Linked DNA regions of Lepisosteus oculatus. The protein of the gene in region 1 interacts with the protein of each later gene in a biochemical or structural test. Links are inferred from orthologs where the notes say so. Each region holds a gene or a part of one and is shown in the gene's direction. Other genes may lie near its edges. The genes, in order: pex5, pex12, pex7 and ddo.

Region 1 (7,076 bases):
TGTAGAGTGAAAAACACATTGAGATCAATGATAATAGTGCTGTAGAACGAAAAACACACTGAGATCAATGATAATAGTGCTGCAGAGTGAATAACACACTGAGATCAATGATTATAGTGCTATAGAGCGAAAAACACAATGAGATCAATGATTATTGTGCTGTAGAGTGAAAAACACACTGAGATCAATGATTATTGTGCTGTAGAGTGAATAACACACTGAGATCAATGATAATAGTGCTGCAGAGTGAATAACACACTGAGATCAATGATAATAGTGCTGTAGAGTGCATAACACACTGAGATCAATGATTATAGTGCTGTAGAGTGAATAACACCCTGTGATCAATGATAATAGTGATAATAGTGATGTATAATGAAGACCACATAGTTTAAATCACCAAAACATATATATACACTTAAATATACACCGACACTACAGCTGCTCAGCTTCCAATAGCTGACTTTCATCATTCAGTCTCTGCATTTGTTTTAGTATTAACTCCCACTACCTCTGCCTCTGTCTACCGTTTCTCCCCCCACCCCGTTATCTCTCAGTCCTATGAGTCTCGAGTCTCAGGAGACGGAGGAATGGATGGAGATGAAGAAGAGGAAGGGGAGGAGTCTCCAGAATCCCCCCCTGGAGATGCCCCAGACGACCAGCAAATCATCATAAAGAGAGATTGCCGGGAACACGCCCCCCGTCGCTACTGATATCCAATCACAGCAGAGTTAAGAAACTGGGATACTTGCAGCGGCCATCTTGGCTCCGTTTTCCCTTCACTTTGTATAACGGCTTGGCTGTTGCCCAGTATCCCAAATGGCTTCTGTTTCCTCAGAAAAACCGTTCAAGCCAATTAGGTCCAGACTGCACAGGAGAATTTTGTCGGATTGGAAACTGGAGCCCTTGGTGGCCTTTATTCCTCTCATCCCATGCTTGTTTCGTTTTGGAGTTTTGTCCTACTTTTGAGCCAAAATGGATCCAGCTTCTTAATCCTCCTGTTACGGTCTCCAAGTGTTATTTATTCAGCAATTCCTTAGTATATCCCCCATCTCTTTTTCCTTATTAATCAGCCAATGAAATTAATGGAGCCCATGAATGACTCATGAAGACCAGCTCTAGAAACAACAGTATAAATGCCCTTACTGCTGAACATCACCGGCACGCACACAACACAACCTCATTCTATAATCTACTCAATAATACACAACCTATTGTAGAGTTCCATGCAATCCACACACGCCACAACTGTAGCTACTTTCCGGCAATCCGTTTAGAATATTCTACACAAGTTGCAACAGGTTCTGCACCGTGTTGTGCTGCGTGCACAGCCCAGTGTTTCGTACATAACCTACAATATGAACTCTGCATACAATCAGTACCACACGAGCCCTGCTTATTCAACCTGGATGTCACAGTTCAGCACAATATCTAAAACCTAATCCCTGGAACTGAGTCTTTGACCCACAATTTGTCTGAAATACACTCACCTGTGTAAATCTGGGGTGTTCTAGTACACACCAATTTCTAGTGGGCCATCTAACACCAGAATCCACAGTATACGGACAGCACAGGCAGTAAACGCACACTTTCTACTCTCAAAAACTACTACAAAGCTGCTGATATATAAAGCCCCTTCACTCACCTCTATCTGTTGTCCACATCGTGCTTCGTATTCAGTGTTTACTACACAATCGTGACTACACAATCCTCCTACACACTCTCTATTCAGAATGTCAGCCCAGTTACTGGGTGATCTTGATTGTATTGATTCCTGTAAATAGAAAAATATGTTATTATTATTATTATTATTATTATTATTATTATTATTATTATTATTAGCTGCAGCTCCCCCGCAACTGTGAGGGGGCGCTGATCTTTGTTGAACTGTCATTTTTATTTCGCCAATTCACAATGACTTGCTCTCCCGCCCCCCCCATTATTAGCAGATAATAATAATTCTAATAATATCTTGCTTGTTGCGTGTTTAACTGAGTTGTGTGTCTCCGCCCTGCAATGACCAGCGTCGTGTAAATTTGATCTGAGTGTACTAACCTTGCTGTTCATTCCTGTGGGTACAAAAAAACAACTTGTCCTCTCTCTCTCTCCTCCTCTTTTTACGTTTCTCTGTCTCTCTCAGTCCTGTCTCTACCTCGGGATTTTCCCCTCCTCCCAGGCCCTCGATCTGTCCTTCTCCTTCCTCGTCTCTTCCTCCTCCACTGCTGCCTCTCTCTCTCGCTCCTTGTTGGTGTACAGTGACCGTGTCTGTATCTGAGCCAGTGTTCTCCTTGTTTTATTGACGTCACGGTTCTGCAGAAGCCTCTTATTATTGTAATTATTCTTCTTCTTGTAAAACAAGATTCCTAATAAAACAAAATGCAAGAATGATGTCAAAATAGCTGCTGGTCTCCGCAGTAGAACTGATCCACGCACGCGTGCGTCCGACAGGGCCTTTTCTGACATCCCCCCAAAAAACGGCCCTGCGTTCGTCTACAGTATTGGCGATTTGTTTTCGTGTTGTGTTTCCCAGAGCTTGAACTGAATCGGAGAAATCTCTAATCAAGGCGTGGGAGCGTGCATTTGAACAGACGCGGGTGTGAGCTGCTCGTTATGTCCGATTGGATGAAAAGAGCACAGGTCAGCGCTGCTCCCAGCGACTGTGTCACTTCCAGGGACATCCAAAAGGGGGTAGTCAGGGCGCAGTCCGTGATACAAGAGCCAGGAGATCCATCCAAGAAGAAGAGGATTAAAACCAGGGAACGGGGAACTAGGGCCAGGAACAGGGAATTTAAAAACATGATGGGAGCAGGCGCTCCGAGGTCAGGACACTGGGGTGAGGGCCTGTGCCTGCTGCCCCTGAAGCCTGGGAGCAGGCGGGCCTTCGGGTGGCCATCTTCCAAAGCTGAGCCCGGAACTCCGGAGACGCCGGATTTATATCACAAAAAAAAAAGGGAGGAGGGATTTTAAGCAGGACAACGGGGTTCATGTCCTGTCTCTTACAAACAGGGCCCTGGGATTGTCCAAGACAATCTGTTTAAGGTCTCTTAAACCTCTTAAAGCAGGGGTCTGTAACCCTGGTCCAGTTACTCCAGGGGTCTGTAACCCCGGTCCACTGACTCCAGGGGGTCTGTAACCCCGGTCCAGTGACTCCAGGGGTCTGTAACCCTGGTGCCCGGTTCATTTAGTTTAACCAGTCACCTGTTTTTAAAGATTGGCAATGGCTGTAAACTATCGATGAATAACAGGAGAAATCTGTTAAACTAAGAGAACTGTGGTCCTTGAGGGTTGAAGAGTAATTTTAAACCTAAACATTCTAAACTACTTAATTTAATAAATTAGCTGTTTGATTTATCAATGGGACTGAATGTTCTTTTAAACTGGCCACTTAGTGGTTTTTAAATCTGACCAGATCAACCTACAGAAGTGTTGGCGCGTCAGCCAAAACATCCGTTGTAACATAACGCACTCCCGTACCGCAACTGGTCTAGGGTAACACGTTTTAAAATAATCGTGTGTCTTAAAATCGAAATAAAAAAACGGTCCAACTGAGATCTTAAAGGATTTTTCAAGGCGAATCGATCCCTGATTGGGTGCTCAACTAGTCGGGTCTGAGACGGAGGGAAGGAGGTGCTGCACAATGGACTTTGTTTAAAGGTTGCGCAAACCTTCCCTTTCGCCTCCCCTACACGTTTTGCGTAACCTCCGCCCTTCACCTCCACCGCTCCATCGGCGGACGCTGTTGGCGCCACGTAAACCTCTTCGCAGAATCTCGGCGGCGTTTCCGCATCAGCCGCAGCCGGAGCGGCGACTCGCTACGCACTTTGCGTAGCTCCGCCACCCGTCTGCCGGGAGCTCTTGCGCGGCCGGGCTTCGTGAATCCCGTCGGCCAAATAATGTTAAATTAAAGGAGGCGTACGGTGGCCGGTGCTGTGCCTGCGGATCCAGAGAGGGGGAAGCGATTGGAGGATTACGGCAGACACTTGACCGGCTGGGTACTGCGGTACGTTGACATTGCGCCGAGAGGGAGGACGGCCGTGTGACGGTGGTCTGATAAGTTATATGCAGCGGAGGGGGGGCGGCGCACTGTTGTCCCGTCCGTCTCTCTGTGTTGTCTTGGCTCGGAGGCGGACAGCCTTGCCTCTGTCTGTTCAAAAACAGCCCCCTGCCTCACCGTCCTCTACCTTGGTCTGCCCGCCGGTGGCCGGTGAGCTGTCCTTCAGCAGGTGAGCGGACAGCGAGTGTACGAGGGCGCCCGCACGTGTGGAGAGCCGTGTGAATCGTGTGCTTGTTGTGGCTTCAGCGTGTCTTTCTGTGATGTTGTGACTTAGGGGAAGGGTCTAGTGTGTGCAGGTTGCGCTCTCTGTGCATAGCTAAATTAGGTATTTTCCAGTGTCTTCCTACTCTGTGTGAGGAGTATATTCTTTTGCATGGAAGAATGAACCTGTTATATGTCAGTAATCCGCTCTCTGTGTGTCACCTACAGTGAATCCAATTAGCTCTGAGGTCACTTTGGGGCTCCTGCTTCTATATTATACAGTCTTAAATATATCAGTTTATATAACATAGCCTTCAGGCAGTCAAGGCTGTCTCTATGGCATAATCGTCTGTCAGGCTGTGTGTCTGTCTTTTATCCTTGTGTTTATATTGTATCCCTGTCTGTCTTTGTTGCTCTGTGATTGGTCAGTTCAGGTTGTGGCTGCCAACTGATTGGCCGGAGCTGGTGGCTGCCATGGCGATGCGGGATCTGGTGGAGGGGGAGTGTGGGGGTGCCAATCCGCTCATGAAGCTGACGGGTCACATGACCCAGGACCGAGAAGGCGGAGCTTGGAGACACAGGGCCACACCCACTGTGAGTCACATGGAGCAGAGACATATTGTTCTGATCTTGGAAGTTTTTCCTCTTATCATAAACGCCTGTCTCTCTCTCCCTCAGATTCCCACTCCTATTGAGATTGCCACTGAAGATGACGTGAGTAAAGTTATTATTAGTCACTTGTTTGAAGTAATTGAAGAAAGAGATGTAGATCGTTCCAATATTACAGGAACAAGAGCAACAGCAGCTGCTCATTATATTTGCCAGCAGCTATATTATCCTGCAACTCACAACTGGCAGCCCCACTGAAGCTCAGCAGGGATGAGCCTGGTCAGTACCTGGATGGGAGACTCCTGGGAAAGATAAGGTTGCTGCTGGAAGAGATGTTAGTGGGACCAGTAGGGGGCGCTCACCCTGAGGTCTGTGTGGGTCCTAATGCCCCAGTATAGTGACGGGGACACTACACTATAAAAAGGCTCCGTCCTTTGGATGAGATGTAAAACCGAGGTCCTGACTCTCTGTGGTCATTAAAGATCCCAGGGTGTTTTTTGAAAAGAGCAGGAGTGTAACCCCGGTGTCCTGGCCAAATTTCCCCCTGGCCTTTACCAGTCATGGCCTCCTAATAATCCCCATCTCTGAACTGGCTTTATCACTCTGCTCTCCTCCCCACTGAGAGCTGGTGTGTGAGGAGAGGACTGGCGCATCATCCAGGTGGGGCTGCACACTGGGGGTGGTGGAGGGGATCCCCATTATCTGTTACGTGTCCCAAAAAGCGCTACAGAAGTGTAAGGATTCAATTGGATTTATTGTTGTAATCACAATGGGTTGCCAGCGTCTCTCTGTCGCCCTCTAGCTGGTTAGCGAGTTCCTGCAGGACGCGGCCCCCCCCCGCCCCCCCCACACCTTCAAGATGGACGACCTGCTGGTGGAGATGCAGCAGATAGACCAGCAGAGCTACAGACAGGCTCCTCAGAGAGGTACCGTCTCTGCTGTCCTGTATCACTCTACCCCAGGCCTGGTCCTGGTGTCTCCCACACCTCCTAATTTCCCACGTTCATTAGATAATTGAATCCTTACTGGATCTAAGATCCAGTTGCTTCATTGGAATATTTGCGTATTGCCTCTGGTCATAAGTTGGCCGATTTTACTTTGCTTATAAAATGCAATGGTTAAGGATCCAACATGTTTAAAAGGGAACTGCAGTCTCAATTTCTTAGACCGGTTATTTATTCTCGTAAATTCATTGACGGAACAATGGATAAATCGTAAACTTTGTGAAAGTGCTGTATAGTCGCCACGTTGTGGCAAACTCGCATTGGAGTTCCCACAAATTGGGATGTTTTGCAGCCCTTCCTGCTCACTAGTCCCAGTAATGACTGATGTGCTGTGATGGATGAGCGAATAGGTACAGGTTGTGCAGCAGACATTTCGCCACAGAAATGTTCCAGCGTGATCTGCAGGCAGAGTGAACCAGTGAGTAGTATTTGTCAGTGGAACCATCTGGAAGTTGAGAGCATTATTTCTCCTGGATTAAAAGAGAGGGATTCACGAGCCTGCTTGTTTAAAGTGTAATAGAGCCGCTTCACCTCACCAGAAGTTTTGTTGTTCTGAATCGCAGAACATGGCGCTGCACAGACCTGGACATTTACTTGTGATGGAAATTGGAGGTTTTACAAGTTACTGTGCACATCTTACTTCCATTGTGGTTTGAAATGCACTCATCAGTGCTGATTCCTTCTAATCCCCGAAATTTAAAAATAGCATTGCAGTTCCCTCTTTGAGAGCTGGGAGAAATCGGTTCAAATCCATCGCGTTATTATGAAGTGAATTGAAGGGATGGATTGTGGAACTGAGGGCGAGCCAGCGGGTGTATGGGGGTCACCAGGCCCAGGACTGCTGTTTCACTGTTTCCCTGTCTGCCAACAGCCCTGTGCTCGGTCGCTGCTTGTCTCACGGGCTACAAGCCAGGCTTGACAGCTAGGATGTGTGGTGCATTGTGGGGAAACAGTAGGCATGTCTTGTTACAAACCAGCTGATACTCTGGGACGTGACCGCAACACCTGGTGTACTAGACATGCACGACAAGGAAGAACAGAGGAGAAAATAAGAGTCAAGTGCATTTGATTTGTGCTTGTAGTTGAATGTGTCCTGAAAGTTTTTCAATATTCTGGCCATTCCTGAGCTGTTAACAGGATCAGAGGATGCATTCTGAAAAGGTATTTGATTGCTTTTGCTCTGCAGGTTCCTGAACACACCCCCTTTT
Region 2 (7,458 bases), on another chromosome or scaffold:
CGACATCAGGCCACCAGGTGGTAACGCCGCTGACTAACTACTGTACTCAAATGAAGCGTAAATGCATTTTATGATTCAACACTATCATGACTTGGAACACAGTGAAAATTACATGCAAGTATGATTAATGACTGACAAAACTACAACTCTTTTCCCAAGATGATCAGACGACACAAAACACACACGTTCATAAAATCATATGATAGTGTGTTTTACCACAGATTAGAGGTGGTGGTGACCTTTATTCTCTCGAGATAAATAAAACATTTTCCACCAGCAGATAGAACACAACATCACTGTACCCTGACCAAGCAGAGACCAGCCTACCTGCTGACTTTCCAGACTCTTCATTTAGGATGAAATAAGTGAAAAAATATTCCATTATTTGAATTACTTTGCATGAAAGCCAATGACACAAAATAAAACTGAAAAAAACACTGGGAAGTCCACATGATAAAAAGTATTTTTGAAGCTAAGCGCTCCTGCAACGCAGGTGATGTTGCACCCAACGACTGACGAGGTAATCTTTCAAACCAAATGACAAACACAAAACTAATGGGACACCATGCAAATCAAACTGGAAGTCAACAAGGTCATTCATGGATGTAGTCTGAACGTAGGTAACAAATATCCACAGGGTGGCAGTGAATTGGAAAAAGCAACCTTCACAAAGCAGATTTGATGATTCTTCATCTCCTTCATGTACAATAAGCTTATTTTAACCACAGCCTACCAGGTACAGTGAAATGGTAGAATTGTGTCCGCACCCCAGGATGGTCTGGCGTTCCATCTGGGATGTAATAATAATAATAATAATAATAATAATAATAATAATAATAATAATTGCTTACACTTATATAGCGCTTTTTCTGGACACTCCACTCAAAGCACTTTACAGGTAATGGGGACTCCCCTCCACCACCACCAATGTGCAGCATCCACCTGGATGATGCGACGGCAGCCATAGTGCGCCAGAACACTCACCACACACCAGCTATCAGTGGGGAGGAGAGCAGAGTGATGTAGCCAATTCATAGAGGGGGATTATTAGGAGGCCATGATTGGTAAGGGCCAATTGGAAATTTGGCCAGGGCACCAGGGTTACACCCCTACTCTTTTCGAGAAGCGCCCTGGGATTTTTAATGACCACAGAGAGTCAGGACCTCGGTTTTACGTCTCATCCGAAGGACGGATGTAGTTCTGCCTTGTGTCCTATGTTTCCTAACCGATCCGACAACGGATAGATGCACAGAACAATGCAGCATCCTCATCTCCCAGCCTGAAGAGAAGCTGACTCAAGGGAAATGACTGTACCTGACATCCTTGCCCACAGTCATGGCGGCGATGACCTTCTTCACTGCCTCTTTCCTCTTCTCCTTCTTCTCATTGTTCAGCTCTGCCTTCAGCTCAAAGATCTCCCCTGAAACGGGAGAAAAGCACGGCGTCAGCACAGCGCACTGCCCTCTCAGCTCCAGTAACTAATCCATCCATTGTCTAACCACTTCTCCCAGCTCGGGGTCGCAGGGGGGCCAGGATCTCTCCTGGCAAAGCAACGGGTTCAAACACAGGGGGGACATACAAACTCCACACAGACAGCACCCCAGGTCTGAAACTGAAGCCAGTGAGGCAGCAATGCTAACCGGAGTCTTGCTCACTGCTCCATCACTCACAGCAGATCCCACTGATGTTTTAGTGTTGAAACCTATAGAAATCCATTCTTAAAACACAAACAAAATAACCCCATAAACATCAAAATCCTCACTTCTACACCAACAACCTCGTGATTTGGAACTGCAGAACCTTCTAACATGTTAACATGTTGCCGGGACCGAGGAGCTACAAGTGCATAGACCTACATAAATACATTCATACACTATAATAATAACACACTATGCACTCATATCACCACTGAGCTCTTAACACAGAGGAGGCCAAATCTTGTCCTGGAGCTGCAGTTTCACAGGTCTTACAGGTCATACTTATACGTTCAGTTTGTAAGCACCTGGCATTTTGATCGCTATAACTGATTTGGTCCCTTTATGCCAGAAATGGCAAAATACGATCCCTTATAGCTACGGGGAGGGGAAGTTGGTATCTTCATTAGAGAAATGATCACTAAACTACTACAAATCAGCTGTGTCAGTGGTCAAAATGAAAGTGCTCAAAGTGTTTGAGGGAGGCTAGATGATTTGAGGCAGGCCCATAAAAACTGTGGGATTGTAGCTCTCCGAGACCAAGGCTGCCCAGGCCTGTTGTGTGATCTCTTTCCGTACACCTGGTGAGCTACTCTCTTTCAAATGTTCTGGTCTGTTTCTAGAGTCCAGTCCTGACATTAGCCCAACTTCATAGCAAAACAATCAGTATTATATATATTTAAAGCAAAGACATGATCGTCAATTTCAGAAAGCAACCACCAGCTGCAAACCCAACAGTCCAAGATCGATATTGTGAACATTTACAAATATACCGAGGAAAACACAGATGCCCTATGTAAGAAAATCCAACAGCAACCGTTATCCTAAAACAATTCCACTATTTTAATGTCTGTAGTAGAACAGTGACTTTATTCTATAGAACTTTCATTGAATCTGTCCTGTCGTTCACTGCAGTAGCCTGGTTTAGTAACCTGAATACATGCAACAAAAACACACTGAGCGGGACAGTGAAGGCAGCCAGCAAAGTTGTCAGTACACAACAGCTACAGCTGTCAGACATCTTAATCAGACAAGTAGTGCAGAAGGCCAATATAATCACTGACTGTCATGACCCCTTGCTCAGTGAATCTGAACTCCTTCCATCTGGGTGTCGATTTAGACTGTCTGGATTCAAGAGCAATAGAACTAAGTCATCTTTTGCTCCTACAGCTATCAACCGGACAGTTATCATTTGGACAACTGATTATGAATTTCACTTTATTTATAATACTTTCTCATCGTACATGTACCTTATTTGTCAATGGGTTCATGTTGTGTTAAATATATGCTGTAAACGTATCATATCTTTTACCTGCAAAGGCAAAGTTCCAATCTGAGACGGAGTAAAATAAATAGACCATCTCGTGTCATCCATCAAACTCAAACACTCCCCCGAGAAGACTCACCTTTCTTGTTTGTGGTGAAGTACTTCGAATCCGTCATGACTGCAGTTCTTCAGAACAGCTGCGAAAAGGAAAAATGGAACACAGAGTACGTTACTTTGCAGAGAAACACCGGTGTATGCTGGATTTAGAAGAGCTTACTGTATGTTTTCTCTGGGACAGACATAAGCAAAAATACACTGATAATGTTACAAATACTGGAAAATTTTCATTTCCAGTCCCATATAAGGAAATACCTGAATCATAACACTATACAGTACATTTACAGCTCAGACATTGGAATTTGTGTTGGCATCGAACTGACCTATGGAGTGAACCACTTCACCGAGTTCACTGAAGGATATAATTTTTCACCTTGAAGGAAATCTTTCAGCCCAGAAAAACAATATTATCCTTAATCTAAGGGATTTAAACTAAAAACCTGTAACAAACATTGCTATTTTAAATATAAACAATGGTATATTAATCTGAAAATGTTGAACTGTTAAAATATATTTATTCCTTCAACATATTCCTGAGAGGAACCACTTCAATACTCCCGCAATTAAGACCTCAGACTCACGAGAGTACAAACTGTTCTGGTTACTGTCTAGAAGTATACAAATAACCGACTGTAGTCTTAAACCAACTAGAACAGCTGTACCAGTCGGAGAAAACCAGTTAACGGGTCTGGTTAGGGATGCCTAAAACAACTACAACACACTGGATTTAAATAGGCGGTGTGGCAATAATGCACATTCTCAGTAAGGCCTTTACGGGGGAAAAAAAACGCCCAGCCTATTCAGAAAGTATTACAGTTCAAAGTCAAAATCGAGATTTTATAGTCAATTAAAATTAATACGCAATCGCTATCGGTCTCCCTTGTCGAGCGCTGCATTTAGGCTTGACCTTATCAACCGACGCCTGTGAATTACATGTATGGAAATGTGGATCAAGCTCAAGGAAGGACGCCAGAAATGTTTATTTAATTTTCTCAGTTCTTATTGCATGTCCGCTTTTCCAGCAAATGCCGGAGAGCCCTGGACTGCGCAGCCCGGCTTGGGTGTGACCCGGCTCCCGCATCTGCCTGTCCGGGAAAAAACGGTGCGGTGGACTGGGCCTCCCCGCCGGTACCGAGGAGACGGGGACGCGACGCTCACCTGCTCTGGGTGATGGCGAACAGAAGAGCCGAGCGAAGAGGTGACAGAGGAAGCAAGATGCTGGTATCACGGACCAAGGGCGAGAGAGAGAGACACACACACAGGGAGAGAAACCGCACTCCCGGAAAAACAAGACGAGAGGCGGAGGAGGAGGGGAGAGACGCCGGAAGGAGCCAGCAGGGATTCCGGAAGGAGCCGACCGAACGATTTAAGAGGCGGACAGCAAAACATCTGGAGGCTCAGCGAGGGTGGGGAGATTTGCGAGCTGCAAAGAGGAGTTAGTTTGTCTGAAAGCCTCTTATTAATCCAGTTTGTTTTGAGGGGAACTGTTTTAACTACTGGGGATGCGCAGTGATCATTGTTGCGCCTAACCAAGAACATCAACAACAAACCACAAGGACAGGTTATCGACCTTTTTTTTTTTTAATTCATGTTAGTTGTGCCCATCTGGGATTTCAGCACTCCGCCTGCAGAGATCAAGGGCACCTCGGCGCTATGGCCGAGCGCGGAGCCCACCTCAGCTCGGCCTCGCTGGAGCGGGACGACAGGCCCTCTATCTTCGAGGTGCTCGCCCAGGACTCGCTCATGGCCTCGGTCAGACCAGCCTTGCAGCACGCAGTAAAGGTGGTGAACCAGCTCATTCATTTCCTGCTACAGCATCTGGTGTTGCTTCTGCGCCTTCTGCAATTTGTTCATAAAATGCTCATAAAGCTGAAATTTATTAGAAGCGTGAATGCAAAGGTTAATGACTAAATGTAAGGACCCACTTAACTGAAACACGTTTTGTTTTCCTAAGAGGGTTCTGTGACATTTACCTTGCAAAACAGACTTGCCTCCAGCATTTCTAGCCTCTTGAGGCCATGATCATACACAGGTTTTTACTATCCCTCTCCGATAAAGACAGGAAAAATAAACTGAACAGAGACAGAACTGCATTCTTGAACATGATTAATAGGCTTTGAAATTAATCAACCAGGGGGAGGCACGGTGGCACAGCGCTCAGCATTACCGCCTCACAGCGCTGGTGCTCTGGGTTCAATTCAGGACCTGGGGTGCTGTCTGTGTGGAGTTTGCATGTTCTCCCCATGTTTATGTGGGTGTCTTCCAGAGGCTCTGGCTTTCCCCCACAGTCCAAACAGAGAGGGGTAGGGAAAAACTGGCGCTAGTGTGAGTGGCTGTCTACCCTGGCATGGACTGGCGTCCCGTCCAGGGTGTACCTTGCCTTGCACCTGTTGCTTGCTGGGATAGGCTCTGGCTCCCCTGCCACCCCGCTTTGGATAAAGCGATGAGAAAATGATGGGCTGGATTAATCCACAATCGCCCATTATTCTTACAGTGCCCCAGAGAGGAAACGTGTGGAGTTCTGCTGTACTGTCCCTCTTGCCTGTGTGGAAGTTCTGGATGTCCACTGGGGACGAGGGGCGGGGGTGGGCGCACCTGCTTGAGCTTCCCTGCACCGAGTGATCCGAGTCCCGTTCCTCCTCCAGGTGCTGGCGGAGTCCAGCCCGGCCCGGTACGGCGGCCTGTGGCGCTGGTTCGACGAGATCTACACCGCCCTGGACCTGCTGCTGCAGCACCACTTCCTGTCCCGGACCAGCGCCTCGTTCTCCGAGAACTTCTACAGCCTGAAGCGCGTGCCCCCCGGGGCCGGCGGGCGGCTGGCCAGCCTGGGCCTGCCCCGGCGGCAGCGCTGGCGCTCCCTGCTGCTGCTGGCGCTGCTGCCGTACCTGCGGGCCAAGCTGGAGGGGCTCCTGGGCCGGCTGAGGGAGGAGGACGACTTCTCCATCCGCGTGCCGCGCTCGGCCTGCGGCCGGCTCTGCAGGGCCTTCCTGGCCGCCTGGCCCTTCTGCAGCATGGCGTGGGAGGGCTGGGTCTTCTGCCAGCAGCTGCTCTACGTCTTCGGCCGCGCGCGGCACCACTCCCCCCTGCTGCGGCTGGCCGGGGTCCGGCTGGCCCGGCTCACGGCCCAAGACATCCGAGCCCTGGACCTCAAGCCCACAGCGGCGTCCACCTCCGCCTCCCCTCTCAGGTGCGCACCGATCCTACATCTCGCAGAGGTCCTCCCGGGGCCCTGCTGTCCTCTCCTGGCTTTGCCCCAGTGCCGAGAGGGCCGGCTGTGCACTGGTGCAGATCCAGTCTAGAGGAATCCGTGACAGCACAAAACTGGACAACTGCGCATCTTTTCTGCATCGTGCCATGAGTGCTTCACCAAAGTTAATAGGGCATTCGTGTCCTGGAAAGCTTAGTGCCAGGGTACAAAAAAAATGTTATCAAAGCTGTCTAAAATACCCACTATGTGCCTGCAGGGAATTATTCATTTATACCCAGTAAACATTTCAAGAGTGAGCAGAAGTGTCGAGGCAAGTCTTCGCTGCATGATCCCTGCGCACTTCAGAAGTTCAGTTTGGACGCGTTTGTGGAAATGTTAGCACGCCCAGACTGGCAGTGTGGTGCAGAGTTTAACACCGGTGCCGAGGCCCTGCGTTCAATTCCAGACCTGGGGTGCAGTCTATGTGGGTTTCCTCCCATGGTCCAAAGACTTACTGGTAGGTTAACTGGCCTCTAGGGGAAAAGTGGCCTGGTGTGAGTGTGTGCGTGCCCCACAATGGACTGGCGTCCCTTCCAGGGTGTGGCCTGCCTCGTGGCTGTTGCTTGCTGGGCTCGGCTCCGGTTCTCCTGCCGACCTGACTTGGATGAAGCGGTTAGAAAAGAAGGGGTTGGTGGATATAACCAATCCCGCTCCGGAAAAAAGAATTCCCTGCGGAACAGGTCAGCGCTTAAACGAGGCCCCGCAGTAATAACTTCATTTCGTTTTCCTTTCCTAGTGCTGGGGAGAAGCTGCGCCATTTCCTCAGCACCGCGGTGGGGGGGGTGGCCGTGTCCATCTCCACCGGGCTGTCCGTCGGGGTCTTCTTCCTGCAGTTCCTGGACTGGTGGTATTCCTCGGAGAACCAGGGCACCATCAAGGCCCTGACCTCCCTGCCCACCCCTCCCCCTCCTCTGCACCTGGATCAGCCAGAACTTCCTGTGGGCAAGAGCGAGTGTCCTCTGTGCCGCAAAGCCCGCACCAACGACACCGCGCTGGCCACCTCCGGCTACGTCTTCTGCTACCGCTGTGCTTTCGCCTACGTGAAGGCCCACCAGCGCTGCCCGCTGACCGGGTACCCTACTGAACTGCAGCACCTGATCAAGCTCTACTGCCCCGAAGGGTAGACCGCTGGA
Region 3 (7,089 bases), on another chromosome or scaffold:
GTACATTATAAATAAAAACAAAAAATACCGAAAAAAAAGACTTTAAAAATAATTGGTCAAATGATACTACTGTTACTTTTTTGTTTTGCTTTGTTACTTAGTGTTACCTGTAAGTTGTAACCTTTTTTATTGCTATGCAAAACGCCTACCGATAACACTGATTAAAATATTTTTGAACATGGATGGATTTACACCGTCGTTTTTCATTTGACAGTTTTTTCAAGCCAACAATGTGGAACTGGAGCTGTGCATGAGTGCATCTTGGTTTTAAAATATTATGCTAATATGTAACATACATAGCAGCATGGGAATCTGCCGTACAATTCTAAGGAAATGTACACAGACATACAAAAAATGTTATTACCAGAATTCGCATTAATGTTTCTCAAAAATGTCTGGAAGAAAATATCAAGTTACAGTAGTACTGCAATTTACTACGCTCTCGATTAGCAGTAACGTTAAATTATGCAGAGATGCTGACGCGCTTTTGTCATGAAAGTCAAGACATTAAAGGATTAGAATATATTGTCTATTCCAGCTAAGAGAAGCTGCCCTTTCCAACAGTAATTTGTTCATTTATTTCCACTGGGATGCTTCAAAACAAAAACGCCATTTGCAGAAGATTTGCACTCACAGCTGAGCCGGCGGAGTTTATGTAAAGGAAAAACAAAAGTAACTGTTCAACATCCGCTATTCATGGTCCATCTAATACAATTTGTTTCAATCAGATAATGGTATTCTACATTATTCTACAGTATTTCTTTATGTCAAATATCATGTGTCTGATCTGGGGAGTGTTGCAACCAAATCAGGCACCAGGCAATATTCAATACTTCATTGATAATACACTGATAAGTTCTGTAATAATCTATTGTTTTTCCTGTGCATGGATCTTTGCTTCTGGCTGAGGAATTTCCATCCAAAAGACTTAATCCAACAGGGAGAAAAGCAAGATCCTGACAAATACGGTGAAACCACAGATTTTGTGCTATGATAATAATATTTCAGTCTGCAAAAAGTCAGGCTGTTAAAAGGCTTCCTGGGAAGATGTAATGTTTTCGTCTGACCAAAACATACTGCGGGGCTCATAATGAAGGCAGCACATGAAAGCAAAACAACTCTGGTCACTCCTACCAAGATGGGCCTTTATGTGCTGCTAATCCACTCTCTTTATCCTCCGGTCTGTTAGAAAGATTTACATTAGTAAATCACTGTCAGACCATTAAATTCCTTAAGAGAAAAAGTATCAGCATTTCCAAGTGAATGGGGATTACGACACACAGTGCCTGCTGCCCACTGACAATCATGGGAACAGAGCGCAGTCATAAATCCACGGTTATCTGGTTTAGACTGCCTGGTTCTCACGCCGCAGTCGCTCCTTTGATGTGGCCGTCGTAAAACACGGACACATGATCAGCGGCTTCGGAAACATCAAGTAGTAAGACTTGCAGAACGGTCTTAAACTGAACGCAGAGCCTAACGGGTGTGTAGGAGAAACTTTTTTTATTAATTAAAATGCAGAAGACCCTGCCTAGTTCAACTCACTATATGAGTGAAAGTCCAGCTAGCAGTTCTTAGAACGTGCTTACTTTCTTTGAAAAAATTAATGGATTGTTCACAGGACAGTTTTTCTTTTCATTGTATCTTCCGAGCTATGCATTTTTTTCTGGAACAGATTACTGTAGTTCTCTGATGCTTTTTTATATTTTTCTTAAATTAAGCTTTTTTCCTAATGTCATGTGACAAAGTGTTGATTTTTTCTTAATTATAGTTCAGCTATGGAGTAGGACTACTGTTGTTTTTATAACTTGATCGTGTGATGATAAGTGTTACAGTACAGTTACCGTCTGCCTTTTCTCTTGTAGGTTTTCAAGACATTTCACAGGTCATTACAGCTGTGTTTAACAATAGTGGGGAAGTGAAACTCTGGACAATACCCTGCAGAACCCCATAGATATTGTACTGTAACACAATTCCAGTTCCACCGAAGAGCCATGTACTGACCCCCTGACAGCAATATATTAACAATATAGGACTGTCACATAATAAATAATCACCTGGAAAACCCTGACATGGTTTAAACACTAGGGTTTATTACACAAATTATCATTAAGAAATCTATACATTATTATAACAGTAGGTGTAAGGAATTCAAAATACAATGACAATCACATTTTTTTGTTTTTTTGAGTCAGTAGGACTGGAGGTGATGATGCATTCCAAGAGTTAGGTTTCAAACATGCTCTGGAAGAAAACACTGTTAAAACATCTAGACAATCTACTTAACAGCAATATGTTCTTGGAAGTTATTGGAGTTTTTTTTTGTTAAAAAATGAAGAACGTTTGGGGAACATTTCACACTACTACTGCTAATAATAATATGAAAAAGATCGGAAAGAAGAACTAAATCATTTTATCACTAAATATATTAAAATCGTTTGTCTGGTTGAGTTATTTTTAATTAATCTAAAAGGTGTCTTTATGCTAGTTATTGTGAATTTAATTTACACTTAATTTTCATGTACAATATACTGGTCTGCATGGACATTTCTGACTGGATTTGTTTGCAAGAAATGGTGTAACCTAATTTTAACTCAGTTGTCACAACATACGCATTATATCTGTATAACAGAAGAAACAAGGAAAAATAATTCATGCCACAAATTCATGCCACAGTGAACTGAATCCATAGCACTGAGACTAGCACAGTACCCCAGTGCCAGGGAAACAACTATAATAGCTGACTTTTAAGTACAAATTGAGGCAGTTATAATGGGGACAGACCTCTGTGCCCAGAACTGGAATGCCCAGGAATCAAGTCCTCATGAAGAGAAGGTGAATAAGATCCATTCATCCATTTTCTAAACACTTCATCCAGTTCCAGGTCCAGGGGAGCAGGAGGAGTCTATCCCAGCAAGCAGCGGGTGCAAGGCAGGATGCACCCTGGATGGGATGCCAGGCCATCACAGGTGATGAACAGGTGATCACAGACAGGCACAGAAATACACAGACTCTCACCAGGGCCAATTTTCCCAGAATCCTATCAACATATCTGTACAGTATGTCCTTGGACCGTGGGAGGAAACCGAAGCACCCAGAAGAAACCCACAAAAACATGGGGTGAACATACAAACGCCAAGCAGATAGCACCCCAGGAAAGGATCCCAGGGCTCCAGCAATGCTTAACCCCTGCACCACAGTGCCACCTGTGAATAAGATCATCAGCAAAAAAGTGAAATAAGCATAAGGAGTGCAACACTGCATAAAGTCTCTGATAAAAGAATTTAGGTACAGGGTCTGTTAAGGGGTGATAGTGATCCGATATTATTTTTTTCTTCTTTGTTATCACCCAGACAACAAATAGGCCTCCACCTGCCTGTTGGATACTGGTATGGTAATTTAACAGTACTTTTAAAAAGTAATGAATAACCGAAAAGTTCAGGAATTATTATTTTATATCGGATTGTAACATTTCATTTGGATTGATATCTCGTTGGCCACATCATTATTTGCCAAAAGTATTTAATTAATACGGATTCCACACATTTATGAACACACCAATATACTGTATACTGTATGTGCAACATTGACGCACACGTACATATATGTGCAACAACAGTGACACCTGGTGATGACTGTTGTGATCATCACTTTGAAATTTATTTTGAAAATAATATGAAACATCATCGGTAGCGTTGAAATGATAAATCGCGTTATAAGAGCTCACTGTAATAATAGTTCACACAAAAAATGCCAATATTAAGATAAGTTACAAATCACAAAAGGACATAAGCTCATCTTGCTTATTTGGAAGGATTTTTATATCATAAACATGAATGTATTTTGTGCTTTGCAATCTAATTGATTTATCAAGTGTACTATAGCCCCGTGTTCAAGTTAACTCGGACAACCGGGCTGGTTAATTTAATGCTAAATTGCGAAAAGGTGAAGAGCTTCCTGGTACATGACCAATCACAGCGCAGCCACAAAAACGACCAATCACAGCGCCCAAAAAAAAGAAAGACCAATCACAGTGCCCGGAAAGAGACCAATCACAGCACCAATTAGAGCTCTGCGCTCCGCAGAGGCTGCTGGGAGCAGGAAGTCGATTTCGACCATGAGACGCTATGAACTATTATGAGCCTGTAGTAAATAAGGTTATTTAGTTTGATTTAAATCCAGTTCGTGTCAGTTGAATTTGAGTACCTTATGTCGTTTGTATTGGAGATGCAAGCGGCTGTTATGTTTAAGACGTAGGCAAAGCGGGCGAGACTGGAACAAAACAGTAAGGTTAATGGCTGAAGTAATGAGGACGTTCCGGTCCCCAGCTCGACACGGTTATGCAGTAGAAGTGTCCCCGTATTTTCCCAACAGGCTGGCCTGTGCCACGTCTCAGTATTACGGAATAGCAGGTGACCCTTCATTCAGTCGTCGTGATCGTGGTTATCCTGCATGAAGTTCGCTTAAGTGTGACCTGAAATGGTCAAAATGTACATTTCAAGCTTTTTTAAAATCACATTTTCATATTTATGTTAAAAAACAACTAACTCTTATATAGTAATTGAAGTTTTTTTAACAGAAAAATATGGAGTTGATATTTTTTAACAACCATCAATTCATCAGCTACAAAGCGGATGAGTTTATTTTCATTTTAGTTTAAAGTACATGTAAGGAAGAGTCATTTTAAAAATAAAAGTAATATTACTCAGATGTAAAAATAAATAATAAATAAAGAAAATTATGATAGCATTTCTGAATCAGAAAGCTTGTCGTGTGTCCTAACCTCTGTATAGATCTGTTCACAGTACCATAAGTCCTTTAATATTGTAAACCAAAACCGAAAAGCACCCAGAAAAAAAGCATACTTTGTTTCTAATACTGCCCCCTCAACGAAAAGCAAATCTTCACAGCTTACTTTTTTGTTTTGTGTTTGTTCAGGTTGTGGAACACTGCTGGTTCTGGAGCAGAATGACATTGGTATTTCTCTCATAAAGAGGTACATAAAACTACTTGTTGCCAAGACTGATTTATTACTATCATTGTTTTTTACTGATTTCTTTATATATGTATATGAAACAAAGACAACACTATTCATAAATAATTTCAATATCATCCTCCACAATGCAAAAAAAACACTGTGTTCCTGTTGAGAAAATAGGGACACACATCTTTGTGAGCACATGCTGAAAACCATCTATTTTTTATTTTGAATAAAAGTCTTTGTGTTGATCATATTGGTTCTGTTCAAGAGAGACGTCCCAGAGGTGTGGGGTACAGGTTTCATGATGGAAAGCTTGTGGGTTCAAACCCCAGGTGGGGACAATGATGTTGTACCCTAAGGCTTTCACTTAGCTCGAGTGAAATGCGCATCTGTATTAATGAGCACAAATTTAAGTCCGAGTAGGGACCTGCGTTAGCATGCCTAGTCTGCAAAGGAACAGGTAATGGTTTTCTCCATGCTGAAAAGAGAAGAAAAGAAACACAAAGTTTTGGCTGTTGGAGCTTCAGGCTCCACTCCTGACAAAGGCTCCACAGCCAAGACGTTGTCATACTTTTTTCTTTTCCTTTCAGCATGGAGAAAACCTTTACCTGTTCCTTTACATATCTAAGTCTCTGTGGGTGACAGAGTTGGACTGATAAGTATTATAACCCTTCTTGTTCAGTTTTGACTGGAACGATGGCCTTTTCGACGTCACCTGGAGTGAGAGCAACGAGCACCTGCTGGTGACGGGGAGTGGAGACGGATCTCTCCAGATCTGGGACACAGCTAATCCCCTGGGGCCGCTGCAGGTGCTGAAGGAGCACGCGCAGGAGGTGACTGTTTTTACCTGGGCACAGGCGGCATTTCTGGAGTCTGTCCGGTCCTTTTCACAGACACACTGGTTGGTTAATTGGCTTCTGTGAAAACTGGCCCTGCTGTGGGTGCTTGTGTCCGTGTCTGTGTGGGCCCTGTGATGGACTGGCGTCCAGTCCAGGGTGTATCCTGCCTGCCTTGCGCCTGTTGCTTGCTGGGACTCCCCAGTGACCCAGAATTGGATAAAGATAAAGATTGGAAAATGCATGGATGGACATGCCACATCATTGACTGACTGCTCTCACTGTTCTTATTATTATATTACAACTTGGTAGTTAATCATGTGGGTCAACTGGCATGGTCTTTGTAGGATAAAAAGCATCTATGTATTTTTATTTTCAATGTAGTCTTTGTAAATAATAATACCAAGCTGTAATACAATCAGATACATTTGTAATGATAAAAAATGTGGTTCCATTTCTGTTGTCAAATTTATAGAATAGCTCTTGGCTTTTTTCTTTCTTTAGAGTATCTATTCAAAAGTTGCATTTGTTATTTTGAAGTCATTATGACTTATTGTTCTTATCATCAGTAAAAATAAAATGGTATGCATTTTAATTTTCTCAATCTCTTTCTAGGTTATAGGGCTTTTTTAAAATACTTCTTACTGAAAGTTGGTCTCTGTAATGTTTTAAATAACGCTTATAGGTATTATTTTAACCCAAGCCTGTGGATATTCAAGCAGGGATCTGCGTCAGCATTCATAGGCTACAAAGAAAGAAGTACAGGTTTATAACATGCTGAAAAGAGAAGAAAAGAAACGTAAAGTTTCGACCGTGGAGCCTTCTTCAGATGTCAAGGTCTTCTTCATTTGTTCTATGAAGCCTGTAGATATTCTCTTTGTTTGTTTTGTGAAGTTGAATGACTTAATGTATATGAATCCCTCTGTGTGCAGGTGTATAGCGTTGACTGGAGTTTAACCCGTGGTGAAACATTCATAGTTTCTGGTTCCTGGGACCACACTGCTAAAGTGGTAAGATGTCTCAAACAATCATATAGTGATGTGTACACATAGAAATAACTGAAAAAGCTTCTTCTGGCTTGTGGTATTGTTTTGAAATATCCTGGATTGATATGATTTTGTTATTTCTTCCATTTAGCTTTGATTACCTATGCAAAATTTTGCAAAAGAAATACCAGATTATCAGTATTTTCTAAACATGAAAACAATGATTCAGTTCCGCTTTACAAACAGAGAAATCATCCTCACTGTGTCGAACACAAACGTTAAGTAG
Region 4 (7,304 bases), on another chromosome or scaffold:
TACGTGCAGCCTTAAAGGGTAATTGGGGAGAATCAGGTGAATATCCCAATCTAAAGTTAAAGGTCTTCTATAGGTAAGCAAATCTCTTTCAAATAAGTGTTTCTAGAAGAACAAAGTAAATCTTTTAAACAAATGGCTTTCTTAAACGGCTTTCATTTTTGTAGTATGTCTTCAGGTGAATATACTCTGGGTAGTCCCTTTATTATTCAAATTACTTTTTGTTATTGTTTGATGGAACATTTTCTATTTTCAAAAGAAGCTAGTTTTGAATTATCCTACCGCTTCATATGTAGCAATTATAAAAAGCGCTAGAAGGCCTTCTCTTTCCTCAGACTGTGGTGTAATATAACTGTGATGAATAACTGTGATGAATTGTGCCATCCAAAAACATTGGGATAGCAAAGTCAAAATTGTATTTTTGCTTTATAGTCAAGAAAGTTGTATTTATGATGAGATTGCCCCTGAAACTGGGTCACTTGTTTGTTGATCATGTAATGAATGATGTTCCTGAACTTTCCAGAAACATTTTGTCTGTAAAACTTTCCATACAGTACATAATGGGACTTATGTATTTATCACATAGGAGTTGGTCAAGAGAAAAAAACTGGAAAAATCTTTGATCGGACAAGTAAATCTCCATATTTAAATTAATTTACGCAAGAATTATACATGCTTAACAAATAAAATAGAAATCAGAACACACTAAGAACAGGGAAGAGCTCAAAATAACTTCATCAAGGTACTTCTAATGATTTAAGAGCTTGATGAGCTCAGTGCAACTCAGATTTCATTCAGTTATTGTCTACATGGCATAAAGGAATAAGGAACCATTTACTGACCTTTACACTTTAAACTGAAGGTATCCCAATATCTAAGGTCACTTGAATCACTGGGTTGGAGACAAAGCATGTTTTTGTTCTTGTGTGCATGTATGCATGAAATTATAAAATGTATATTGTACTTATTTTAGTCTCAATTATTTTGGTCTCAAGATCACAAACTGTTTGAGTAAAGTAAAAATAAGTTATGAATTTGTTATTCCAATACCTATGGAGGGCACTGTATATAATACAGTATATTCTGCATAATGTACAGTGCCCTCCAAATATGTACAGATGTAGCCATTCAGAATGTGCATTAAAATCCTGTAACATGTTACAGGGGCTTCGCTTTGCTGCGGCTTTCTTTGTCGTTGTGATTCACTGGACAAGGACGATCGATATGTAGCACTTGTGTACGTTAGATGTTAGTGAAAACATGAACCTCCCACAACAAAAATAAATGAAATATTAATACTTTTTTATACTTTTTAAATCCACTTAATATGTAATAATAATATGCAATCATGTAATCATGTAACTAAAGGGAAATTTGGAAAAAATGTTTCTGAATGTCAAACGTTAAATTATATTTAACTGGTTGGCATCAAATTTAACTTGGTCACCTGTGGTTAATTTGGAAACATTTTGACGTGTTTATGTATATTCTTTTTCCTTTCCTTTCAGCATGGAATGAACCTTTACCTGCTCTTTTGCAGCCTATGCATGCTGATGCAGCTACCTACACAAATTTGTTATAGGCTTACTGCTCCGTATCCCTATGATCCGTATCACAATAAGAACCAGGTTTAATTAAAGAACAAGGGTTCCTATGACTGTCAAAAGTACAATCTTCCTTTGCACAGTTTTACATTCATAGCATTAATAGTCCTACTCATTCTGTTTTAATGATTAAAACATATTTTGATGACATTTTTTTTACTATGGAAAGAAAAGTTCAATGGCTGTAGAAGATGGGGAGAGAGATTTTCTTAAAGCCTTGCTTTATTAAAGGCTGTATTGCCTTTCCCTGTAAAAAAAAAAAAGCTAATTGTTATTAAGATATTAGTTTTAGATTTACAGTTGTCTTGGAAATTGTATTTTTAGTGAGGTCACTACTGAAAGTATGTAGGTGTGGTGAAGCATCTTAGTGTATTTGCTCTTAATTCATAACTGGATTTTGTTGATTAGTGTCCCTGTTGCAGATACTGCTTTTGTGTCTTTGATCAAGGTACTGTACCCCAATTGCTCCAGTGCATCAAGCTGTATAAAAGGAGAATATAAGCTCCAGTCTTTAGTATTGACATTAATTTTTTAAACTTTCATATTGAATCTAAGAAGTTGGTTTACATAGATGTAATGTTTGTTATGCACTTTTACTCAAAAGTATGTTCATTTTCTTCCCAGGACATTGGTGTTTTGGTGATCATTCTAAGCATGACTGGAAAGTTTGCCATTGCAATTGCTTTTGGCCTTATCTACTTGTATACATGTGAGCTCTACCCAACTATAGTGCGGTATGTATAATTGATCAAATCATGAAATTAATTTGAGGACTTGTAATGATATACAATAGGTGTAATGATTTTATTTAAAATTATATAAGAACTTGGAGAACTCTTAGATCTTTAGATCTCAGCTTTTCATCTGTTGTCTTACAGTAAATTCTGTGAAGGAAGTTAATGATAAAAAAAATTCAGGTTGCTGCTGCAGGTGTTGGTGGTAAACCAGTAGGTATCTCATCCTTCTGCAGAATTTCCAAACCAGTGCCCCAGTAAAGCGACTGCAGACACTGTTCTGTGCTAAGGAGTTGCTGCTCTGTGGATGAGGTCCTTTGGCCATTTTTCAAAAGAGGGCGATAACCCAGATGTAATCTCAGCAGACACAAGTGTAAACAGTTAAAGAATTCCTGTTTTATTTGCCTGCCTCAGGTCTCTGGCTGTTGGAAGTGGAAGTATGATGTGCCGTATTGGGAGTGTAGTGGCCCCCTTCTGTGTGTATTTATCAAGCGTTTGGACCTTCCTGCCTCAGGTAATACCACGGGGATGTCTCTGACAGCTGCACTAAAAGCCATGCAATTCTTTTGCAAATACAACAGCTACAGAATGAGTTGGGGGGGGGGGGCAGAGTCAATAAACAGTCATAAGAGAGGAATTAGATAATTATATGGGGAGATTTCAATCATTTTATTATATGACTGCTTCACAGCTGCCTTTCTCTATTTTTTTTCTTCCATGGTACTGCTAATTTAAACTTTTGATTTTTGTCATTCTTACATTCTGAACTCCTCTTTTGAAAAGTGATTTGTAATTAACATAACATCAGTTAGTTTTTAAAGGTATTCTTTGTCCCACTAAAACTAAAAAACTAGTTTTTTTTCCAGTCGAAGCTAGCATACATATTCATTTAATCCCCTGGGATGTTTAGGGGAATGTTTGTGGCAGTGTCTAAGGACCTGTAAAGAAAAGGCCATCCTTTCTGTATGTCTCCCTTTTGTACACTTTATTTTTACAGATTGTTTTCTTTAAAATGCATATTTTAAATAGAAATAGTATTTCTGTTAATGTTATACTGCACTCATGAAACCAAAACTGTAGGTTAATGAGTGTGAATTAGTATTCATGTATTATCTCTTATTCCCCTTGTAGTTAATTGTGGGGATTCTGGCTTTTGCCATTGGCTTGTTAACTTTGATGCTTCCTGAAACCCTTGGAAATCCTCTAACAACTACCTTTGAAGAAGCAGCAGCTCTGGGATCTAAGGTAACCAAGACAGATAGACAGGTCACTGGAGATCTTGGTGAGAAAATGGAAATGGACTATAATGCTCTAAATATGGTGAAAGCAGATGACCTACACGTCTGAAGAGAAGGGCTTTAATAAATGCCGGGGTTGGACTGATTTTGTGCACAATTTTACAATTTTTAACCATTTTTAACGTTCTTCCTGTTAACCTGTCCAACTGAATGAGTTATTTAAATAAGCATTTTAAATTGGAGGTACCAGCCTCACATGTCCTCTTGTCATTTTTGTTTCCTATTCCTAGAAGTGTTAAAAAAAACGTTTGATTACCTGAATGTTATGTGATCTGTATAAATATAATTTCCTTTTATGGTAGGAGGTGGCAGCATCGCCTTCCCAGATTTAATAGACTGTGTTCTGTATTGAGTACAGCTACTCTATTGCAATACGATATGTGGGACTGAAAAACTACCTCTGGCAATTATATCTGATGTACAAAAAACAAACTCTGTCTATCTGGTCCACCAGTGTTACTAATTTAATGACTTAATTTAATTCCCAAAACAGTTCCTAGAATATTTTCTTTATCGTAAAGATATTTTTTCCTTATTAAATACTGATTGTATATTTTGTTCCTAGTTCATTGTGTGAAGTGTTCAGTTGAATCATCATGTTCCTGTTTTGTCCATAAAAAGAAACTCATAATGATAGGGTGGTGGAGGGATTCAGACAGCCTCTGCTTTGTTATTTGCACTACGTGCACTTTATGGATTATGTAAACTGGCACTTTCCCAAGGCTTTGTGTAGCCCGAATCAAGTCCAAAGCGAAGCTTTCTAAGCTCTTGCACAAACACATTTAGAGAATTGCCATTTGTGATACTGCAGTGATCCACCCTTATTCACCCTGCCTGTGTCTGTGAGAGAAGAGAAGGCAGCAGAGCTGAACTGCATGGACGCCAGGGTGTATTGTCCTTTCATGGCTTACAGGTGCGCGTTTGCTAATCACAGATGGTAAAGAGCGAGAACACAGGAGCTCGCAGTTAAAAGAAGGTGGTGGTAAAAGAAGGACATTGTCCCCCATTCATATATTGGGGAAAACAATTAAAATAATGTTGAATGAAAAAATAAAACACAATAACTGGAATAATTAAACATCAATTTAACAATTCGAATTAAACAATAATTTCCGGGATCATCAATGTTCCCAAGGAGCATGGAGGAAAAAAAAATAGAGGATATCTTAGTACATGTATATGACATCTGTCTTCCAATGTGCTCTTGCTTGACAACTGACAAGATTCATGTAGCAAAAGGTATTTTTAGCTGAAAGCGAGTCTGGAACCGTTTTTTTCATCAATCTGCTCTCAAGTGCAGGTTAAGTGAGCTCAAGAGTAAAAATAAAAATCAGAAAAAAATCCATATGACTTGAATATTAAAAACATAAGTGTTCAACAGGTTCAGTATTTAACTGTGTACAATTTAATTATATAAAGTAAACAATGAGGGCATACATTTAGCTCAATCCATCAGCTTAGTGGCTCCTCCATGTCTGCAGAGCTAAACAGTTGCAGAGAACCAGAACACATTAGGTTAGTGGGGTTGCTTAGTGTCCTTTTCAACTATCCAACAATATGAAGTCTGTCAGTAAGCAGACCTGAGCATTGCGTAGATCTAAGAGGTCAAATGTGGAGTTAAAAAAAATGCTTCTAAACCTCTCTATATAAGAGGGGGAAGTACAATCACTTATAGACCTGTGAGGAAAGATGCCCTAATAAGGTAACAAAAAGGGGAAGTTAAGAGGTGAAATGGTCAATTACAAAGGCCATCTTAGTCAGTTCTAGGGTTGGACAATTCTTAAACCTCTCATTCTCCAGAGCAGAAGAAGCAAGAAGCAAGATGCAAGTTTCAGCTGCCAACAGATCTGAAGCACTGGCATTTCAGGCTATTACTCATGTAAGGGAACATTACAGGTGTTGGATTCAATAAAGACCAGATATAATTTTTTCAGGTTTTTTTTGGTAACCCAACACCACATTCTGACATATTGTACCTAATTTTAAAAGCTGTAGCTTAATGAGTACAAAATGAGCAGTAATGATCAGTGAATGAGATCAATGTCTTTACATTGAATTGCCACAGCCTGGAGGAAAAAGTACTGCTGCTGCAGAAAGCTATAGCCTATATGTTCTCATTAATTGAACACATGTGACTAGGTAACAGGTTGCTCCTTTTTAATTTAACCAGCAGCATTTTAAGAAATGGGTTGTTAGTTCTGCGAGCTGTTTCATTTTTCATTATGTGCATGTTAGTGATTTTTGTTACACTTATGACTATATGTGAATTAATGAAATGAAAGGGTTTTCACTCATTATAATCAGTTCTGATAAAGGGAAGACTTCTTCAAACCACATTAGCTCCAGGCTGGAGTTGAAAACACCATGTAGAATTCCAGCACAACTACTTTTGACCCACGCCGGAAATAATCCAAACTGTACATTGTCTCATTTCTGTTATAGAGCATGTACCCTTTTTCAAGCGTCCCCTGCACCTACAGTAGTTGTTAGGTTATTCACAGCATACCTCATCAACAACTTTCAAGAAAGATGTTGTTACAAGCTGTCACGTCTGGATGACCATGTAGGAGGTGCAGAAAGTGAGGTTTCAGAACTTGATCAATTAAGCACTATGTATTCAGGCTGCTATTAATTACTACAGGTGGAATTGTTAATGATTATACACTCCTGCTGAGATCACACTGCTTGGACCTCTCCATTAATGTGTCTGCTCAACACAACAAATGGCATATAATTCTACATGTCTGCATGACACATGCTGGTCTACTGGGGTGGTCCATGCAAACCTTGATTCATTGCTAAAGAAGGCTTTGCTCTACTGTTGACCAGTCCACCTGAGAAGTTGCTTCAGCATACCAGTGGCACAAAAGCATGCTCTTGGTAAGTGGGGCGTATTGGTCTTCACCTGGATTGACAGTCAGCAGGTGACCTTATCTGTGCCAACTGACACATTCTCTAGTAAGGCTATGTAGTTTTTGTGCAACACAAAGCCATTTGAGTGTATCATGGTCAGTTAAACCATTGTCATAGTTTGCTTTCCCTTTCTCTTTTTGCCTGTCCCATCACGGACTTTCACTGGGGCAGGCACACGCACTTTTTTTTCGCACTAAGTTCTTGTTCTTGCCTTATGTGCCCTGCTCACCAGGCTGGACCCCGCTAAATGGGGTACTGTAAGTCCAGTCTGGTCACCGCTGTGCTAGCGATTCTTTTTCCCAGGTTTGACCCCGTTAAATAGGATAAGCCCAGCCTGGAGGTTACAAGACACAGTGGTACTCTTTCTTTTTTGCCTTTTTGTTTATTTTTCACTCTTTTTGTATTATTTCTGGTCCCTGCTAACCTCACACTGGTGCTTCTGTCCCCTCACCCGGTGCTCGCTAAGGCGCTTCCCACTACACTGTCACAACAGTAAAAAAAAAAAATTACAGACATTGGTGGAGACAGCCTAGGCCATCATTAATAAGGAACTCCCCTCCATTTAAACAATTCACTTGGCACTGCCTCAGAATGCCCAAAATATAATCAAGGATCAAAACCACCCTGCGCATGCATCTTTGTCTCTTCTTCCTTCTGGCAGAAGAGTTAGGAGTATACAGTAATTGCCCAAACCTCCGAATTCAAAGAAAGCTTCTTCATCATAGCCATAAGACTTCTGAACACCACCTCTTAAACCT

Evidence for each region.
Region 2: the proteins of pex5 (region 1) and pex12 form a complex in vitro, tested with the Homo sapiens proteins (2 studies listed by BioGRID). The link is inferred for Lepisosteus oculatus from reciprocal best matches to the Homo sapiens genes PEX5 and PEX12.
Region 3: the proteins of pex5 (region 1) and pex7 form a complex in vitro, tested with the Homo sapiens proteins (3 studies listed by BioGRID). The link is inferred for Lepisosteus oculatus from reciprocal best matches to the Homo sapiens genes PEX5 and PEX7.
Region 4: the proteins of pex5 (region 1) and ddo form a complex in vitro, tested with the Homo sapiens proteins (2 studies listed by BioGRID, with this or other methods). The link is inferred for Lepisosteus oculatus from reciprocal best matches to the Homo sapiens genes PEX5 and DDO.

The regions. Positions count from the first base shown.
Region 1 is NC_090718.1:2,695,817-2,702,892, reverse strand, and holds the start of pex5 (peroxisomal biogenesis factor 5), read left to right. Parts: upstream 1-4,057; 5' UTR 4,058-4,059; coding exon 4,060-4,223; intron 4,224-4,684; exon of another isoform or gene 4,685-4,689; coding exon 4,690-4,849; coding exon of another isoform or gene 4,850-4,933; coding exon 4,934-4,969; intron 4,970-5,666; coding exon 5,667-5,790; intron 5,791-7,076. Other genes in the region: clstn3 (calsyntenin-3), read left to right, coding at 558-713.
Region 2 is NC_090721.1:1,318,801-1,326,258, forward strand, and holds the start of pex12 (peroxisome assembly protein 12), read left to right. Parts: upstream 1-4,454; 5' UTR 4,455-4,731; coding exon 4,732-4,860; intron 4,861-5,723; coding exon 5,724-6,265; intron 6,266-7,061; coding exon 7,062-7,449; 3' UTR 7,450-7,458. Other genes in the region: ap2b1 (AP-2 complex subunit beta), read right to left, coding at 1,315-1,420, 3,101-3,137. UniProt on the Homo sapiens protein: Component of a retrotranslocation channel required for peroxisome organization by mediating export of the PEX5 receptor from peroxisomes to the cytosol, thereby promoting PEX5 recycling.
Region 3 is NC_090697.1:2,535,198-2,542,286, forward strand, and holds the start of pex7 (peroxisomal biogenesis factor 7), read left to right. Parts: upstream 1-4,087; 5' UTR 4,088-4,294; coding exon 4,295-4,412; intron 4,413-4,938; coding exon 4,939-4,996; intron 4,997-5,663; coding exon 5,664-5,814; intron 5,815-6,749; coding exon 6,750-6,827; intron 6,828-7,089. UniProt on the Homo sapiens protein: Receptor required for the peroxisomal import of proteins containing a C-terminal PTS2-type peroxisomal targeting signal. Specifically binds to cargo proteins containing a PTS2 peroxisomal targeting signal in the cytosol.
Region 4 is NC_090697.1:33,063,136-33,070,439, reverse strand, and holds the start of ddo (D-aspartate oxidase), read left to right. Parts: upstream 1-4,289; 5' UTR 4,290-7,304. Other genes in the region: slc22a16 (solute carrier family 22 member 16), read left to right, coding at 2,226-2,335, 2,750-2,849, 3,467-3,682. UniProt on the Homo sapiens protein: Selectively catalyzes the oxidative deamination of acidic amino acids. Suppresses the level of D-aspartate in the brain, an amino acid that can act as an agonist for glutamate receptors. Protects the organism from the toxicity of D-amino acids.